4 linked regions of the Caenorhabditis elegans genome follow. The protein of the gene in region 3 purifies or fractionates together with the protein of the main gene of each other region. This does not show direct contact. Each region holds a gene or a part of one and is shown on either strand. Other genes may lie near its edges. The genes, in order: chin-1, K01A2.5, lec-9 and rcat-1.

Region 1 (8,051 bases), on a different chromosome or scaffold from region 3:
TTGGACAAAAACCTGTTTTTTTTTTGTCAGATTTTTGCAATTTTTCGATTTTTACACCAAAACTTGACCAAAATCGGGGAAAACTGAATTTTCAAGCCATTTAAATGTAATTTTGAGCTTTAAAAGCTTAGAATTAGCAAAAATTTGAATTTTCCGAAGTTTTTCAGTTAAAAATGTAAATTTGGGCAGAGGTTCCCCGGGAAAGTGGTCAAATGTGCTCGGTGAGCAATTAAAAGCCAAAAAATTCCAAAATTTCGCAGTTTTTAATGCGAAAATTTGAAATTTCGAGCCCAGAATCGCCAATAGAGCACATTTGCCACGAAAAAAAAATGAATTTTTTTGAGAAATAGTATGGAAATTACTAAAATTTTCATAAAAATCTGATAATTTTAGGAATTTCCGGAACTTTTTTACGGCTTTTTAACCAATTTTAAATTTTTATGTTTAAAAACTTTTTTTTTTTGGAAAAAAAAACATAATTCCCTCAATTTTAGTAATTTCGAACTAGAAAATTGGAGTTTTTTGTAATTTTTTAAGCCTAAACCCCTTTTTTTCCACCAATGTCGTAAGATTTGGTGTTTTGGGTTACGGTAGTCGGTGTTTGCGTACTTTTGGGGCTACAGTACCCCGCGAAATTCCAAATTGAGCTAAAAAGTCATACTAAAAGCTGTTCAAAGCTAAACTTTGCGCTGATTTCGAATTTTTAACTTTTCCCGTTGGTTTTTCAATTTTTTGCACTAAAATTTTTGAAAAATTCGATTTTCTCAGAATTTTCAGAATTTTTCAGACGTTTTCAATGTGTTTTTCGGGTTCCTCGTGATTTTTTAGCCCCTCAGCCCATTTTTCAGGGCAAAATCTTAAAATGTCGTAAGATCCGGTGTTTTGGGCTACGGTAGTCGGTGTTTGCGTACTTTTGGGGCTACCGTACCCCAAAACTCCAAAAATTGCGATAGAAAACCCAATTTTAAAGGTCTTAAGGCAGAATTTCGCGTAGAATTCGATTTTTCCAACAAAAACCTCTGAATTTCGCTGAAAATCCCAGTTTTACCTGAGTTTCATAGGAATTTCCGGGTAAAAGTGGTCTAATCGACCTGTCAATGGCTCTGGAGATGAGGATTTCATTGTCAGATTGACTGAGCTCACGACGCAGGAAATTTGTTGGAATTCGGCCAATTGCTGACGCTGACGGTCTGGAATTTTCAGTTTTTAGGCCATTTTTATCGGTTTTTAGCGGTTTTTTCGCAATTTTTTTTCCGAATTTCTCACCGATATTCAACTTGTAGCGGTACTCCACTACCATCTCCTTGCTTGGATTTCCGTTGTACTACTGTAGCCATCACGGCGTTGTCTCCGAATGAAGCAACTACGGTGGATGACGCAAAACGGGCGAGGTGGCCTGAAAAATCAAAATTTTCATGAAAATTCCTTTTCTAGACAGTGGAGAATTTTTTCGCGCATCTTTTGCGGCAAAAATCGGCTCGAAATCTTTATTTTTAAGATTTTTAGCAATTTTTCCCGTTTTTTTTCTAGTTTTTTTTCAAATTCCCACCAGCTTTCAGCTCGATTCCACTTTTTCCATCAAAATCCACTGCTACTGATTGTTCTCGACCCGCTAATCGATATTCTTTCCTGGAAAACTCGCCAGATTTTTATTTTTTTGAATAATTTTCTGACTTACGTGTGAAATCTCTTGGAAATGTGGATTGGCAACCGGGAAAGTTTCATTTTTAATCTAAAAAACTAATTTTTATTCAATTTTTATCGAAAAATTGAGAAAAAAACAGCGAAAATGAGTGAAAATTCAATATTTTCAAGTTTTGAATTAAAAAAATAATTTGGTCGAGAAATGCGCCAAGGAAATTTTGCTGGCGCGTGTCTCGATCGCTGGCACTTTTCGCGATTTTCTTCAGAATTTTATTTATTTTCTAAGAAATTAGCTCAACTTTGCTCATTTTTCTCCAAATTTCTTCGATTTTTTTGCATTTTCAGTTAAAAAATCAATAAAAATCGAATTTTTGCAGGTATGGAAGACGACGGGCCTCCTGGGAGCTCGGGTAAGTCATTTTTTTCAAGCTCAACAAGTTTTGGAAGCTTTAAAAATATCCGAAAAGCTAAAATCTCAAATTTTCCAATTTCCAGGAGCATCAAAAGGATACTGGAAGCAAAATTTGTACCTTTTACAAGAAAAAGCGCCGAAACCCAACGCAGTTTTGTGCCGAAAACCTCTTCAGCAGAGACCTCGACATTTTGGAGCCGAATTTCACGGATTAATCGATAGAAATGAGGTTTTTAGTGATTTTTGGGTGTTTTAAGCTCGAAAATTCGATTTTCAGGCCGAAAAAATGCTGCTGGAGGCCGGAGAAGGCTCGTATTTGGTGCGGGAGTCGAATCGGAGCAGAGACGCGTGCACTTTGTGTATGATTTTTGATGCAAAGGTTATGAATTATAAAGTAAGCATTTTTAGAGTTTAAAAAGCAGAAAAAATCGATAAACATCAAGAAAATACCCGAAAAATATCAAATTTTCCGCTAAATTTTCGAATTTAGTGAAAAATTCCCAATTTTTGTTAACTCGCCGTGGCAAATGCGCTCTATCGGCAATTTTAGGCTGGAAATCTCGAATTTTTGCATAAAAAACTGCGAGAATTCGGAATTTTTCACCTAAAATTGCTCCGCGAGCACATTTGACCACTTTCCCTGGGAACCGCTGCCCAAATTTTCATTTTTAATTCAAAAACTTGGGATTTTTTCAATTTTTAGCCAAATTTTTAAATTTCCAGCTCTACTACGACGGTCAATTCTACGTTGGGGAGAAGCGTTTCGACACTATGGACCTTTTGGTGGCTGATGGGCTCATTTCAATGTTTGTGGACCTTCACGCGGCGGATTATATAAAAAGAATGGCGGATGAGGCGATTTATGAGGATAGGTATGGGAATTGGCGGAACATTAGCGAAAAATAGGCCGAAAATCATGAAAAATGGCAAAAATCACAAGAAAATGAGCCAAAAATTATAAAAATTGAAGAAAATTGACTTAGAATATAAATTCCGTGGCAAATGTGCTCTATCGGCGATTTTAGGCGGGAAATTTCAAATTTTCGCATTAAATACTGCAAAAATTTGGATTTTTAAGCTTTTAATTGCTCACCGAGCACATTTGACCATTTTCCCGGGGAACCTCTGCCCGAATTTTCATTTTTACCTCAAAAACTTTGGAAACATGACATTTTCGCTAATTTTCTGCTTTTAAAGCGTAAAATAGCTCAAAAATGCAAAATTTTCGGGTTTTTGGTTGAATTTTGCTCCAAAAATCGGAAAATAGTGGGAAAAATCTGAAATTTACTGAAAAATATGGTAAAAACTAGATTTCTTGCCCTAACGTTAATTTTTAAATGCTAAAAACTACAAAACGCGTCGAAAATTCAAAAACTGCCAATTTTTTCTTAGAAAATTCTAAAAATTTCAATAAAAAGCTCACTTAAATAATTCAAACCTACTTTCTGTTTTCTCCGTGGCAAATGTGCTCTATCGGCGATTTTGGCTTAGAAATTTCAAATTTTCGCATTAAATACTGCAAAAATTTGGATTTTTAAGCTTTTAATTGCTCACCGAGCCCATTTGACCACTTTCCCGGGGAACCTCTGCCCAAATTTCGATTTTTACCTTAAAAACTTGAAAAAATTAAAATATTGCTAATTTTAAGCTTCGAGAGCTCAAAATTACCGTAAAATTGCCGAAAAATTGAGTTTTCCCTGATTTTGGTCAAATTTTGATGTAAAAATCGGAAAATAGTGAAAAAATATGACAAGTTTACGGTAAAAACTGAAAAATATCCAAAAACTAGTCTTTTTGCCCTAATTTAGATTTTTCAGTGCTAAAAAGCTACGAAACGCGTCAAAAATTCCAATTTTTTTCTAGAAAATTCGAAAACTTTCTCTGAATTTTTGAATTCTCCCTAGAAATTGTCTTTGTACGCTTTTCCGTGGCAAATGTGCTCTATCGGCGATTACGGGCTGAAAATTTCAAATTTTTGCATTAAAAACTGAAAAATTTTGAAATTTTCCACCCGACATTGCTCACCGAGCCCATTTGACCACTTTCCCGGGGAACCTCTGCCCAAATTTTCATTTTTACCTTAAACAGTTTAGATTTTTGCGGTTTTTCCAGTTTTCCCCATAGAAATATCGATTTTTCAGCCCATATTCTCGGTATACGAACGCCGCCGCCACCACTTCAGACATTGTACGCCGTCCCGTCACTCGAGCACACAACTTCACGTCGTACACCTTCAAAGCTCCGCACTACTGTGATTATTGCCGAAATTTCCTGTGGGGATTGGTGCATCAGGTAAAATATTATAAAATATACGCGAAAATTAAGAAAAAACTGGAAATTGTGAAATTTTAGGGCGAAATTCTGGAATTTTTTGAAAAAAATTCATGAAAAAAACACAATTTTCGCAAAAACTGGCAATTTCTTCGGATTTTTAATGCCTTTTTCGAATTCCCCGCACTATTTTACCCCCGGAACTCGTTTTTCAGGCAAAAATCTCGCAATTACGTAAGATCCGGTGTTTCGGGTTACTGTAGTCGGTGTTTGCGTACTTTTGGAGCTACAGTACCCCGCGAAATTTCAAAATTGAGCTAGAAAGTCTGAGTTAAAGCTATTTAAGGCTAAATTTTGCGCTGATTTCGAATTTTATGAAGGATTAGCGCAATTAATATTTTTTCGAGAAACAATTTCAAAAAAATCAAATTTTCCAGGGAATGCGATGCGAGGACTGTGGCTTCGCGGCTCACAAAAAATGCTCGGAAAAAACGCTTCACGACTGTGTGCCCGACTCGAAATACGTGAAACGCATGTTCGGCGTCGACATTACCACCCTGTGCATGGCTCACGGAGCAGATTTGCCGCCAATCGTGCCACTTTGCATTGGAGAAGTCGAATCGAGGGGTCTTGATGTGGAGGGGATTTATCGGGTTTCGGGATCCTATGATCATATGGAAAAGCTCAAGCAACAGTTTGATTCTAATCAATATGTGGACTTGGCTACGGTAATTTGCGCGGGATTTTCAGCGTTTTCCCGGAGTTTTTGCCTAAAAAATTGCAAAAATCCAAAGAAAATGAGCCAAAAATCGTAAAAATTGAAGAAAATTGACCTAAAATAAGATTTCCGTGGCAAATGTGCTCTATCGGCGATTTTGGCTTGAAAATTTTAAATTTTCGCATAAAAAAACTGCTAAAATTTGGAATTTTCCACCCGGAATTGCTCACCGAGCACATTTGACCACTTTCCCGGGGAAGCTCTGCCCAAATTTTCATTTTTACTCGAAAAACTCGAAATTTCACATATTCAGCTCAATTTTTCAAGTTTTCTACTGCAAAATTCACTTTGAAAACCCTAACAATATCCTAGAACCCGTTTTTTGTGAAATTTCAAATATGCACCTATGGCTCAGTAGGTAACACAGATGGCTGCCAAGCACAAGACCGGGGTTCGACCCTCGCCGCGGCGAATTTCTTTTATTTTGCTTGAAATTGATTCTCAGAACGATTTAAAGTTTTATGACTCAAATTTTTTCTTGAAACTCAATTTTTGTGTAAAAATCTGAAATTTACTGGAAAATATCGAAAAAAAATTAGTTTTCTCACACTAAAAAATTCGAAAATTCAAAAACTGTCTATTGTTTTCTAGAAAATTCACAAAAATTTCACTAAATTTTTGAATTCTTCTTTAAAATTGTCTTTGTATGCTTTTCCGTGGCAAATGTGCTCTATCGGTGATTTTGGGCTGAAAATTTCAAATTTTCGCATAAAAAACTACGAAAATTTGGAATTTTCAGACCTCTATTGCTCACCGAGCACATTTGGCCACTTTCCCGGGGAACCTCTGCCCAAATTTTCATTTTTACCCCAAAAAACTTTCAATTTTTCTCAAAATTTCACCAATTTTTTCAGGTTTGCGATATTCACACAGTTTGCGGGCTCTTGAAGCTCTACTTCCGCCTACTACCACAGCAACTGATCCCGTTCAGCGTCCATAAGCAGCTTCTCGTCGCCTACCAGGAGACGAATCAACGATCTACACATGAGAGGGAGCGGCAGATAAGGTGCTGGAAATTTGGGGATTTTGGGTCCAAAATTTTCCCAAAATTGTAGAAATCCCGGTGAAAATGAGCCAAAAAATAGCTTTAAAAAATTTTTTTGGAAATTCCGTGGCAAATGTGCTCTATCGGCGATTTTGACTTGGAAATCTCAAACTTTCGCGTAAAAAACTGTGAAAATTTGAATTTTTCCACCCAAAATTGCTCACCGAGCCCATTTGACCACTTTCCCGGGGAACCTCTGCCCAAATTTTCATTTTTTCTCTCGAAAACTGGAAAACATTCTGAAATTACTGGAAAATTTCAGAAAAGTGATGATGGAGCTGTCCGATGCGAACATAATCACACTTGGAGCAGTGTTGGCGCATTTGAAAAAGGTAAAAATTCAAAATTTCACTATTTAAGTGGATTTTCGAAGGTTTTTGACCTAAAAATTCACTCCAAACCCCCTGAAAATACCCTAGAACCCATTTTCGCGAAATTTCGAAAATGCATCGGTGGCTCAGTAGGTAACACGGATGGCTGCCAAGCACACGACCGGGGTTCGACCCCCACTGCGGCGAATTTTTTGTTTTGATTGATATTGGTTCTCAAAGCATTTAAAAGTGTCGAAAACCAGTTTTAGAATTATTTTCTGTCCAAATTTCGAATTTTTCTTATAAAAATGAATAAAGCCCCAAATAACTTAATTCTAGTCAATTTTTCATCGCTTTTAGGTGTAAAAATCAGTTTAAACCCCCTAAGAATTCCCGGAAACCCATTTTCCGCAAATTTTCAAAAATGCACCTGTGGCTCAGAGGGTAACACAGATGGCTACCAAGCACACGACCGGGGTTCGACCCCCGCCGGGGCGAATTTCTTTTATTTTGCTTGGAATTGGTTCTCATAGCGTTTTAAAGTTTTATGGCTCAAACTTTTGCAAAATTCGCTTAATTTTTTTTCGTAAGAACAAGGAAATATTCTAAAAACTCAACTCTAGTAATTTTTCATAGCTTTTAGGTGTAAAAATTAGTGCAAACCCCCTAGAAATACCCCGAAACCCAGTTTTTGCGAAATTTAAAACTTGCACCGATGGCGCAGTGGGTAACACGGATGGCTGCCAAGCACAAGACCGAGGTTTGACCCCCGCTGTGGCCAATATTTTTTATTTGGCTTGAAATTTAGTTTTCCCCTAAAAAATTAGTTCTTAAGTTAAAAAATTCGAATTTTCAAACAAATTTTCTGGAATTTTTCAAAAAATTTCCCCAATTCCAGGTGGCAGATCACAGTGCAAAAAACAAGATGACCGTCGAAAATCTGGCGACAATTTTCTCGCCGACACTCTTCTGCTCGGGCTCCATACCCGCCATGCCGAACCATCAGCTGCTCCATTTTCTGATCAATAATCCACGTGTCGTGCCGAAACATCATTAATTTATTGCTCCCCGTGGTGGCAAGTGTGCTCTATCGGCGATTTTGGGTCGAAAATCTCAAATTTTCGTATGAAAAATTGTGAAAATTTGGAATTTTCGACTTTTAATTGCTCACCGAGCCGGCTTGACCACTTTCCCGGGGAACCTCTGCCTAAATTTTCATTTTCCTAGATCTATATCTCCCAGTTTATGCATTTTCTTCAGCAATTTCTCTCATCTCTCCGCATACTTTTCTTCATTTACATATCGGGTACCCGTTTTCTCTCGCTTTTGCATGTTTTTTGACCAGTTTTATGCATTTATTTATGATTTTTCCTTATTTTTCACATGTTGTTACGTTCTTATTGCATAATGTTTTTTTCCGAGTTTTAGAATATAAATTTATTGAGCTGTAATTCAAAAATTCTCAAAATTTTGTGATTTTAAGACCCCTGGCGCGTTGAATTCCGAAATTTTCATATTTTTCTGCAGTTTTTGGCTCAAAGCCTTGAATTTTGGCTTGGAACCGATGATTTTCAGTCAGAAGCCCAAACA
Region 2 (3,437 bases), on a different chromosome or scaffold from region 3:
TGCGACACATAGTACCCTGCGACAGTATATAGAAGAATCCTAAGACGAGCTAGAGTATTCAGAGATCGACAAGGACAGCTCACGGATCAATGGGAGCCGCTTGGAGATCCAGTGGAAGTGGAGTCTTGGACATTGACACGGAAACAAGGGAATACTGGAAAATGAGAAAATCGTCTTCAAGTTTTTCTCTAATATTGTAATTTTCAAGTTTTATTGATTAAATTTGGTTCATAAAAATTTATTTGTGTTCGACAACATGGGTGAAGCCGCATTGTTCCAGATGTGTAAAACTGTGTTGTCCTAAAAGATCAAAGACCCAAGCTTGACAAATCTGAAAAAAATGCTTTCAGCACTCCCCGCAAAATCACATGATTCGATCATCAATTTCCTCTTTGCGGTTTTATACAATACCTTCAGACAATAGGAACAATTTTCTGTCTCTTCCATATCCCTTTTCCCTTTCATTTCCCATTTATTTCCCTCTGTGTGTCCAAGTGCCTGTGTTCTTCTCCTTCTTCTTTCATCTTAACAACATCTTCCTCCGACTGCGTTTGTACACTTTCACCTGTTATTCCCTATTTACCCTCATATCCTAGATTGAAATCTGCATACTCTCCCAGTATAAATCAAAAGGTTTACTTTACTGTTTCATAGTTCCTTTTTATTAGAAACTACACATTTATATTACAAATAACTAGATGTTTCGGTGTTTTAGTGGTTATGTTTTTTTTAATAATTTTTATTACCTTTCTAGAATCTTCCAAAATTTTCTCGAATTATTCTGAAGGTTCCAGAACCTTCCAAAATTTTCTCGTATTTTCCAGATAGTTCTAGAACATTCCGGAATTCTATCTAATTTTTCAGAAGGTTTTAGAACATTCCAAAACTTTCTCGTATTTTCCAGATGGTTCTAGAACTTTCCGCAGCTTACAGGCACAAAATTAATCCGGTCTTGTCCAAATTCCTTCTGAAATCTTAATCTGTAGGCTACAAATTTCTCATTCCTATCGGACTTTCAAAATCTTTTTCGTAGAACTATTCGTCATTCAAATACATGCACTTTTAAAATTTCCTCTTTGGTTTTCCTTCCTCTTTAGCCTATTTCACCGAATTTTTGAGATCAATAATTCCATGTGTCCGATTTTCGAATAATTTAATATTCACTATCAGTTTTCACGTATCATAATTCTGGAAGTCGATCAAAAAACAATGTTTTGTACTCTACATTTCTGTATTTAAATATTGTAGAGGTTCACAATACATGTTCTCGCTCTTCAGAAAATTCCGAATTCTATAAATGTCGCGGAACCATAATTATTTGGCCTAAACCGATTTCAAATACCTATGTTAATTCTAGGTCAATCCGGTGGTTGTAAATCATCGACAATAACAATATATACGACCTACTGTACTAGTAGGTTGTAAATACTGTAGTACTACCACACCACAAGAGGCGTTCTCTTAGCAATACATTTGAACCTTGACCCTTGTTACGTCTCTTTCTAGGATAGAAGAAATCGGGGAGATGTACTTCAAAGGTGTGCGGTCTCAAAGGTCACAAAGGTGTCTCAAACATTTATATTATCCGGAAAATTTCCTCACCGTCGCTACCTCATAATTAACAAATTAAACACCTAAATAAATTTCAGCAAAAGAAAAATGACTCAAAGCGACTATATCGAAAGTTCGGAACACATCAAGGACACTCAAATCGGTTACTGTAAATACGGCCACGGTCCGAACTACATTCTCGCGATTTGCGGTGCTGTCGGCTGCTATAAAAAAGATTGGCCACTCAAATTGCTCTCTCATTTCCCACCAGATCAGGTCACAATTGTTGGGATTGATCCTCCAGGTTACGGTACCTCAAGACCTCCAGAGCGAAAACAAGAAGTTCAGAGATGTATGAAGGATAGTGAATATTGCCTAGGGTTAATGGAGGTGAGCTTTTAATTTTGAAATTAAAATTTTTACGTTTTCAAAAAGCCTCCAAATTTTAGACCCTGAAACTAGAGCCGTTCACCGTGATGGGGTGGTCAGAAGGTGCTAGAACAACGGTCCACGTGGCAGCTAAAGGAAAGGAAAAAGTGAATCGAATGATTGTAATGGCTGGTGCAACAAAAGTTAATCATCTAGGAGCCATGGCTTTCAAGGGTGAGATATTTAGATATATTTGGAAGATTACTGTTTTTTAATGAAATTTCTTAATTTGACACCAATATGGCCCATTTTTCCACATAGAAGCAGCAATTTATGCCTACCTACCTACAAGATTTTTTATGGGAAAATAAATCGAACGTCCATTTTATGGGTGTGGCCATCTATTGGTTTTGTGCTCTTTATAAATTAATTTTTGGAATTTCAGGAATGCGTGAAACAAATCATTGGCTAGCAGCCGGTCGTCAACCATATTTGGACCATTATTCGCCGGAAACACTCCGGACACAATGGGCGGCACTTTGTGACGTCGTAGATCAGTGAGTTTTGTGGGCGGGGCTTATGCGAAGTTGTGTATATTCCTGTAGGCACAAATATGTCTGCCAACTACCTTCAAGGCGACCTACGTCTGCTTCCTACCTAACCAAACGAATTTTCAGAGTTCACTCGTTCTGCGGTGGCCGTTTCCCGTGTGACCTGGTACTTCCACAAGTCAAATGCCCGACACTAGTGATGAATGGTGGATTGGACCGGTTCTGTGGTGACCCGAATGTATGCTTCATCCCAGTGCTCAAGAGTTTGGCAAAAGTTGAGATTCATGCACAAGGAGGACACGATTTTTATTTGAAATATCCCAAATGGTTTTCCGGAAAGGTTCTGGAATTCTTGAAGAGCACGGAGAAGAAATGATAAATATATGAAATTTGTATTTTGTATTTTGTGAAGAATAAAGTTTATAAAAAATTCGTCCTGGTCTCAAGCAATTTCGCTATTACACTCATAAGCTCCACCCACAAAATGACTGATTTCATTAGGAATTTTGCCAAAAGAAAATTTCAGAAAAAATTCTAAAATTTCCAGAAAAAAAATCTTCCCGTTCACAAAGGGTTTCTGTCCGAGCCTTGTGGGCGGGGCCCATGCGAAGCCCAATTAAAATTTTTGGGACAGTATACTTTCTGGAAACGTCCGTGAAAAAGTTTATACAAATTTATTTCACAAAAATAAAAATAATTACGGACTAGCGTGACTAACAGGCTTCCGGCGAACATTCTTTGCTCTTGTCGCCAAAAGTAGTCGTCTCTGCTTCTTGAGCACTCGAGCCAGCACTCGTTTCCTGTACTCATCCTCTTTATTGTACTCTGACACGTAACGGCTTTGGGATGCTGTGGCGTAGCTTGTGGACACTGTAAAAAATATGTTGAAATTTGAAATTTGAGTTTTTTTAGGCCGTAATATCAGCCCCGCCTACTTAATGGAAAAAAGTAGCCTACCTGGTGCCG
Region 3 (3,561 bases):
TTTTTCAGCCGACATACCCATACCGTTATCCTGCTCACAACCGTGCAATCTGAAACTTCTACTCTAGTAGCATCAACTAATCAACAATTTGTATGAATAAAAATTAATCAAAGTCACTAAAAATTTACTTGTCGATTTATGTATCAAAAAACTATCAGCCCAAACAAAAAGTTGTACTCTCTATATATATTTTGGAATTTTTAAAGTTTGTATTATATTGAATGTTTTTATTTTTCCTGTTTTCCTGTCCATGGCTTTATTCTTGCAATTTTCTCCACCTCTCTCAGTTAATCTCTACTTTTCAATTCTGCCAAAAACCTCCTCTGAAACTCGCAATTTGTCAATGTTTCCCTATCCCACCTGTACTATCATTTTCTAAATTAATATTTAATTTCCTGATAAATATTTGTGAAACACAATCGCAAAAACTAGTATGCCAAGAATTCAAACACTCAAGTTTCGAAACTGTCCAGTGTTTCTCGAAATTATAGCTATTTGCCAGCAATGCTAAACTGATAAGAGCAGTCAAAAGACGGCAGTTTTGCACATGTTTATTACAAAAGTGTCCAATAAAAAAGAAATTGAAAAAATGTGGTAACGACTAATTTAATGGAATTGAGAATATTGAACATTGTTAATGTGAACTTTTCCTTCGAGATTGATAGCCTGAATGCTTTCAAAGGGAAGACGATGTGGGAAGTCTCCGAGAAGAACTCCGTTGGTGGTGATGTGGAAGTATCCTGGGTAGACACGGATTTGCAGGTCGAAGGCCTGGTCGTGGTGAAGTGGGTTGGCGTGGGAGATCTGAAATTTTCAATTTTGGTCCACGAAAATGGGACTGGAAATTTGGAGGGAATTTTGTTTTTAATGGTGCCCACCCTTCTGTTACAGGTTGTTAAGAGCATGCAAGTGTTCGCCAATGGCACTCTGTGACTGAAGCGTAATGTAGCTTTTTGGCCTAGGTTGCCATGCTATCTGCAAACTACATAGCTTACAGGAATTCATTGTATGTTTATAATTTAGTTTCACTAACAGTGCAACCTATGTTGGAAAACAACCTAACTACCGAGCGACTCAAAACATTCAGAGTTTCCCACACACGATTTTTTATGAACTTATGCATACAAATTCAATCCAACTCTTCCCGCTAAACAGTCTGATTTCAAAACAACGTACCTCGTTTCCCCATGCATTATCAATTTTAGCGTTGATTGCCACAATCTTCTGCTTCTCGAATCGGAAGTTGACGTGAAGAGCGATGTTTCCACCGGAGATCAGGTTGACGACAAAGTCCCTGAAAACCGATGTCATCATTTTTATGTTGATATCTTTTAAAACCCACTTTTTGTGCTTAACCAATCCATTGACAGCAATTTGAAGTCCGCTGCGAACTCCGAAGGGGAGAGCAAAGGTTCCTGGGACTGACTGAAAACGCTTTTTGAATTAGTTTTGTTTTGGAAAGAGGAGGGGAGGGTTGACTTACTGGATTGAGAATTGGAGCGGCCATTTTCAGAAAAAAAATGAAATGAAATGAAACTTCAAGATATGAATTTCAAGTGTTTCGATTCTCGGTTGTGGCCTATTTATTCTCACTTTCTTATCTATGCCTTCTTCCTCTCAGCTGCGATGAAGTTTGGCCGTGTAAACTTTCGATATCACTGGAATGACGTGTCACGTTTTGCCTGCCTAATACAAAAATGTTTACAATATGGATTGAAAATGGAATTTTATGCGTTTCTCTGCCAAATAGTCATCGTTTTCCTGGGGAGTACTATGAAGAGTTTGTTTGATTGTCGCAAAGTGCATGATGTGTTAGTTGACATTTAAAATACTTTTTGATAGCGTAAAACGGGAATTAGGACGATTATTTTAAGTGACAGTTTACAAGCCGAGAAGACAATCGTCTAACTTCTGATTCAACTAAATTGTAGATATCAGGAAAATTATTGGTTTTTTCAGTGTTATTTGAGAAAAATGGACATATGAAAAAATCTAGAATTTTAAAAATAATAATAAGGGGTTGGTTTTATTGAGAAAAATAAATTTTTTTAATACCTAATGATCAGAAATTATTCTTTAAAAACTGTCCTGAAAATTTGAACAATTAAGATTTTTCAAAACAGGAAAAACGAAAACTTCACGTGACAACAAAATGTTTGTTTTTTAGAGTTTCGGAAACGGTACAGAAATTAAAGCTAAAAGCTGAAATTTTCCCGAAGACAAAACTTGAACATTGGCATTTGTTGATTTGTGATTCTCAGATGAAATTATTCTGATTAGGATTAAATGCCATGAATCCGCTGGTTTTGCAGTCGTAAAAATGTATCTTTCAAACAAAATTAAAAAAAAAACAATTATTCTTATCCAATGATGCTCATCAGTAGCCAATGGCTGTCATCGATTTCTGTCGGCTCTTAGTTCTCTCAAACAAATCTGTTGAAATCCCAGATTGGCTTATAAAAATTTTCCCATAAAAAGTCTGCCGCTGTAAAATTAAAAAAAATTGTAGGAAGTAGTAAACTGAATAATAAGCACCACATCAAGTTTTCTCAAACACTGTTTTTACATACCTGTATTACAGAAACCCTATATCAAATTTTTAAAAAATTTCATTTGTTGTGCCAGTTTTTCCACGGACATAGTGTCAGCAAGTAAACTCCAAAATTTCAATTTCCTCGCTATCTTGCAAGTTTCTCGAATTCAATTAAGTTGTAATCGAAGGCACTGCAACATTGAAAGAATTAAGTACCTTTTTCTGTTTCCTTGTTGCACGCCATGTCTAGTTTTCTTTCTGCTTGCCTAAATGTAGAGCAATCGACTAACTATAATGAGTTCCAGTCGCGATATTTTATTTTAATTTAAATCGGTGGAAACTCTTAACTTCCGTTTTGTGAAAAATTGTAAGATTTTTCAATAGTTATGATTATTTTCACAGTTTTTTTCGGGTTTTCTGAGAACATTAAAATAATTTTCATCGTGTCGAGCAGGCTTAAACTTATTCTTGTTGGCACAATGCATTCCAATGGTCCCCTCCCACTCTTCACCTCAATGACGTCATCATTGTGTAGGGCGTGCCACAAGGTTTAATGCTACACAATTCCTGATAGCCATCAGTTCTTATCATTCATTCCCAACCATGCTCCTGGAGCAACTTTATTCATTCAACAAGCAGACACAATTTCTAACTCGTCGGTAGTCATCGTTCTAGCTGAAAAGGACACTATGACACTGAAGCGAGTTGGAAATAGTGGTTCTACTTGAGCAAAACTGTTGAAATTGGATTACAGAGATTATAACTAAGTTTTACACTGCTTCAAGTCACAGGGTCCACTGAACTTGAAGAAGAAGTAGGGCCAGTTTGAATTTTGTTAATTACGCTTCATTTCGTTCAATATGAGCAAGTAACACTGCAAAAACTTCAAAGTCTTACCGTAATTGAATTAATTTAAAAGAAAAATTGAAAATTTGTGTGATATTTTCTCATTTTACTAACGCTACTTCATCTAAAAGAAAAACTAAATTTTCAGATCTAAAACATGACACAGAGCGCAAAAAAATGTG
Region 4 (3,935 bases), on a different chromosome or scaffold from region 3:
TTGTAAAGACTCGGGAAGTGAAGAAACCACCCAGATATCCAAACTTTTCACTGAAAAAAGATACGAAAAGTGGGGAGATTGCTTACTTTTTGGCAAAATAACTTTATTTTAATCTTTTCAGATCAAAAAATGAGCCAGCACTTTGATTATCTTCTAGTATTAGACTTCGAAGCCACGTGTCAAGATAACTGGAAAGGGCCGATGCATCCAGTCCAAGAAATCATCGAATTCCCAGTGGTCCAGCTCTCGACGGCTGATTGGAGTGAAATTCGTCGTTTTCATCAATACGTTAAGCCGACGGAATGTCCAAGGCTCACATCTTTCTGCACATCTTTAACAGGAATTATTCAGGTTTTTAATGCAAAAATTTCGAGGAAAAAATGCTAAAATTCCAGGAAATGGTTGACGAAAAACCGACGCTTCCACAAGTTTTATCGGAATTTGATAGCTGGCTGAAAGAGGATTCTCGACTGGAAAAGGGCAAATTTGCATTCGTCACTTGTGGAGATTGGGATCTGAAAGTCGCGCTGCCGAATGAGGCGAAATTTAAGAATATTGGAATTCCAGAGTAAATTTTTTAGAGTAAAACTGACAATTTGAGGCTGAAAATTCGTACAATTTGACTCTAAAAATCTGAAATTTCATTAAAAAACAATCATTTTTGTCCCACGAACCGCACAAATCCAAACAAATTGTCCTTCAGGTACTTCAATCAATGGATCAACGTGAAAAAGGCTTCTGCGGAGCACACAAATCATTTCGCGAAAGGAATAGCCCAGCTTCTGGCCATCTACAAGCTGCAACATCAGGTTTTCTACTGAAATTCTGAAATCTCAGCAAAATTCTAATTTTCCAGGGTCGCCACCACAGTGGAATTGATGACGTGGCAAATATCTGCGAAATTGTCCGGTGTTTGGGCATGAACGGGCACAACTATCAAATCACAGGCTCCAAAGACACAATGACGCGGAGGGTGTTCAGAGATGCGAGGAAATAATTTTTGTCGATTTTTCAGCAATATGTATTAATACGAAATATTGACTTTTCCGCCATTTTTCCGTTCAGAACAATAAATCTTTGCAAAAAATATAGCGAGAATATCGAATTGCAAGTACAGTTTCACGTATACGTTTCTAGAAATTAGATTTTTTTGGAAGTTTTAATCTGTCAATTCTCTCCGCCATGAGGAAGTCTACACACTGAAGAAGTTTCGCCACTTTCTTCCCTTTTAAATTGATTTTTTAACCGCTTGAAAATATTCATAAAAAGTTTTCTCTCTCGGTCCAATCTGAAAAAAAATTGCAACTTCAGTTGTATTTAATAAAGCTTTATAAGACACAAAAAATATTATTTCAAACATCGCGCTTAAAGTTCTCTGCAATGGAGCGGACTTGCAGACACGCAACGCGAACACGCGACGCGTCGAAGTGACAGGATTTACGAGCGTAAATCCTACCAATCGTTTTAATTTTCTATTTTCCTCTGATTTTTGTCAATTTTCCATAAACTTTTAGAATTTAACGCAAAAAAATTCACAAAAGTGAATGCCAATTTTTCTGGAACTGATAATCCTTGAAAACACGTATTTTTCACTTCCGGATATAGAAATGTTTGAAAATTGCAGGAAATGACCACAAATCCTATCGAACTCGAGTCCTGCATTATTGATCAGATACGATGCCCAGAATGCGCCCTAACATGTCTACAAAAGAATATCTATCGTCACATGACACAGATTCATAATTGGACAACTGAAGATTGTCAGGAACTGATTGCCGCTATAAAATCTGAAAAAAAGAGCCGAGCATCTAGCACATCGTTTGTTTGCTGCCACTGTAGGATGATATTTCGAAGTGTCAAGCATCTGGTTCAGCATAAAAAGGTAATACAACCCTATTCTTCTGGAAAACTAAATATAAAAATTGGATCTTGCAGATGTGCACTGAACAACCGCAACATGACAACGAGCATCTTGATGTTTATATAGATGAAATGATTGTTGAAGGAGAAGAAGAAGTTGTTGGAATCAATGAATATGATATCAATGAAACTAAAGAATCTACACAAAAACCATCCACATCATCTGGAGATAGTTTCGAGATGAATATTCCGCCACATCGACAAGCTTCTCGTCCAATCCAGCCACATCATTTAACGCAGGAATGGTTGGAATTAGAAAAAATAAAGGTTTCTGTCAAAAACTATGATTTTCAGCCAAATTGCCACCATTATTGAAAAACCTTCAAAATTCTCGTTAATGCAACTACCAGGAAAATATCGTGGATGTAATTTAAAATGTCCCGAATGTTCGAGTACATCAGAGTCGTTGGATGAATTTTTACTGCATTGCCGTCAAGAACACATGTCCCATGATCAGAAGTTTAATTTAGAACGAGAGTTTTTCCAATCAAGAGACCAGTTTAAGGTTTTTAAATATTCTCGATAAAATGACAAAAATCTAATTTTAGGAATGGTTCGATCAGAGACAGGAGGACACATGTACATCGTTGACAAAACGTACAGGACATGCTGGAGAAACACTTTATAGGTGTCATCGTGTCGGAAAGTATCAAAGTGTCGCAAAATCCAGGAAATCGAATCCCAGGAAGATTGACCAGACTTGTACAGCATATTTGAAAGTAAAACATTTTTTAAAAAATTTGTTTTAAAATTTTGAAAAATATTTCAGGTCACAACAGAAGAGGACGGTTCAACTTGGGCAACTGGATGCTTTACTCATATCGGACATGATCTTGATCACAAACTTCTATGGCTCACCGAATCTCAGGAAAAATATGTTCGTGAGCTAATTGACTTGGGATGGACTTCTGATCAGATCTTCTTCTTTATTCGGAATGAGTACAAGGACTACGAGTGTAAATTAAAATATATCTCAAAGAATGATATTAGGTGAGGGTAATCATCCGAAACAGTAGGCAAATATAATGTTTTTTGCAGAAATATCACAGTTCGGTACAATAGAGAACGGGAGAAGCTTGGTTTTTTAACGGACACTGCAAAATCTTCTGCGATTCCGATTAGTTTGAAAGAGCGGCGAGCCGTTGCTGCAGATAGTACGAAAGAACCGAGAGAAGAAGATGATGATGAGGTTAAGGCGAAAATTCCAAGGATGCAAAGCAAACCTGATAACATTGAAAAGGTTTACAGACGGTTAAATTGTTCTGAAAACTCAAAAATTGAATTTTCAGGCAACTACTTCAGAAAATAATTCTGCAAAACATCGCGAACAAGTTGTGGATTCAGAAACTGCGGAAGAAGATGAATATATCAACGTAGTTGATGTGGATACGATGCCACCAAACGATGCTGGAAAAATCACAATTGGCTTAAATTTTTAGTCGATTTAATACATTTTTGCGATATTAAATATGTTGTTCTTGTTATTTATTCATATCATGAAAGTTTATTAGATAATTCAAATCGAAAAAGAGTTATATCTCAAATGCCTGACAATAAACGCTGTATGCTGATGGCTGAAAAAAATTTGGGCAAAAATAAAAAGTTGTCTGGTTTTGTTGAAAACGGGTAATTCATGTATGCTGAATTCAGAAAATCTAGGTTTAACACATCAAAAACTATTCAAAAGTGGCAAAAATGCACAATTTTGAAACTCCTCTAAAATGGGCAATTTTGTAGTTAGAGGACTCAAAATTGATCTCCCAATACTAAAAAGTTTCCCTTTTTCAAATTCTAATGGTTCTGTACAATTTCAAAAAAAAAAATTTCTTGCCCAAAAAAAGGGCAGTCATATATTATTTGAATATTGTCCAAATTTGTTGAAAACGGGTAATTCATTTATGCAGCGTTCAGAAAATCTAGGTTAAACCTATCAAAACCATTAAAAACTGGCAAAAATTGGGCAATTTATTGTAAAAAATCACTCTATTGAAACTCCTCTAACCGGCGGCAGCCGA

What was found.
Region 1: the proteins of lec-9 (region 3) and chin-1 fractionate together in Caenorhabditis elegans (co-fractionation; one large-scale study listed by BioGRID). This does not show direct contact.
Region 2: the proteins of lec-9 (region 3) and K01A2.5 fractionate together in Caenorhabditis elegans (co-fractionation; one large-scale study listed by BioGRID). This does not show direct contact.
Region 4: the proteins of lec-9 (region 3) and rcat-1 fractionate together in Caenorhabditis elegans (co-fractionation; one large-scale study listed by BioGRID). This does not show direct contact.

The regions. Positions count from the first base shown.
Region 1 is NC_003281.10:1,031,183-1,039,233, reverse strand, and holds chin-1 (Chimerin 2), read left to right. Parts: upstream 1-2,021; 5' UTR 2,022-2,023; coding exon 2,024-2,054; intron 2,055-2,139; coding exon 2,140-2,285; intron 2,286-2,333; coding exon 2,334-2,450; intron 2,451-2,779; coding exon 2,780-2,928; intron 2,929-4,197; coding exon 4,198-4,348; intron 4,349-4,764; coding exon 4,765-5,055; intron 5,056-5,959; coding exon 5,960-6,111; intron 6,112-6,412; coding exon 6,413-6,482; intron 6,483-7,359; coding exon 7,360-7,518; 3' UTR 7,519-7,912; downstream 7,913-8,051. Other genes in the region: pnpt-1 (polyribonucleotide nucleotidyltransferase), read right to left, coding at 1,049-1,190, 1,267-1,396, 1,550-1,629, 1,679-1,725.
Region 2 is NC_003280.10:300,756-304,192, forward strand, and holds K01A2.5 (AB hydrolase-1 domain-containing protein), read left to right. Parts: upstream 1-1,649; 5' UTR 1,650-1,659; coding exon 1,660-1,941; intron 1,942-2,000; coding exon 2,001-2,154; intron 2,155-2,365; coding exon 2,366-2,477; intron 2,478-2,597; coding exon 2,598-2,847; 3' UTR 2,848-2,904; downstream 2,905-3,437. Other genes in the region: K01A2.6 (AMIN domain-containing protein), read left to right, coding at 1-12; col-69 (Nematode cuticle collagen N-terminal domain-containing protein), read right to left, coding at 3,169-3,341, 3,429-3,437.
Region 3 is NC_003284.9:17,598,469-17,602,029, reverse strand, and holds lec-9 (Galectin), read right to left. Parts: upstream 1,544-3,561; 5' UTR 1,508-1,543; coding exon 1,484-1,507; intron 1,426-1,483; coding exon 1,343-1,425; intron 1,295-1,342; coding exon 1,177-1,294; intron 805-1,176; coding exon 607-804; 3' UTR 527-606; downstream 1-526. Other genes in the region: C16H3.3 (INCENP_ARK-bind domain-containing protein), read left to right, coding at 9-53.
Region 4 is NC_003282.8:253,119-257,053, reverse strand, and holds rcat-1 (C2H2-type domain-containing protein), read left to right. Parts: upstream 1-1,624; 5' UTR 1,625-1,627; coding exon 1,628-1,882; intron 1,883-1,935; coding exon 1,936-2,165; intron 2,166-2,214; coding exon 2,215-2,425; intron 2,426-2,468; coding exon 2,469-2,639; intron 2,640-2,689; coding exon 2,690-2,910; intron 2,911-2,958; coding exon 2,959-3,160; intron 3,161-3,209; coding exon 3,210-3,359; 3' UTR 3,360-3,435; downstream 3,436-3,935. Other genes in the region: R02D3.8 (Exonuclease domain-containing protein), read left to right, coding at 1-69, 122-351, 396-568, 704-809, 857-997.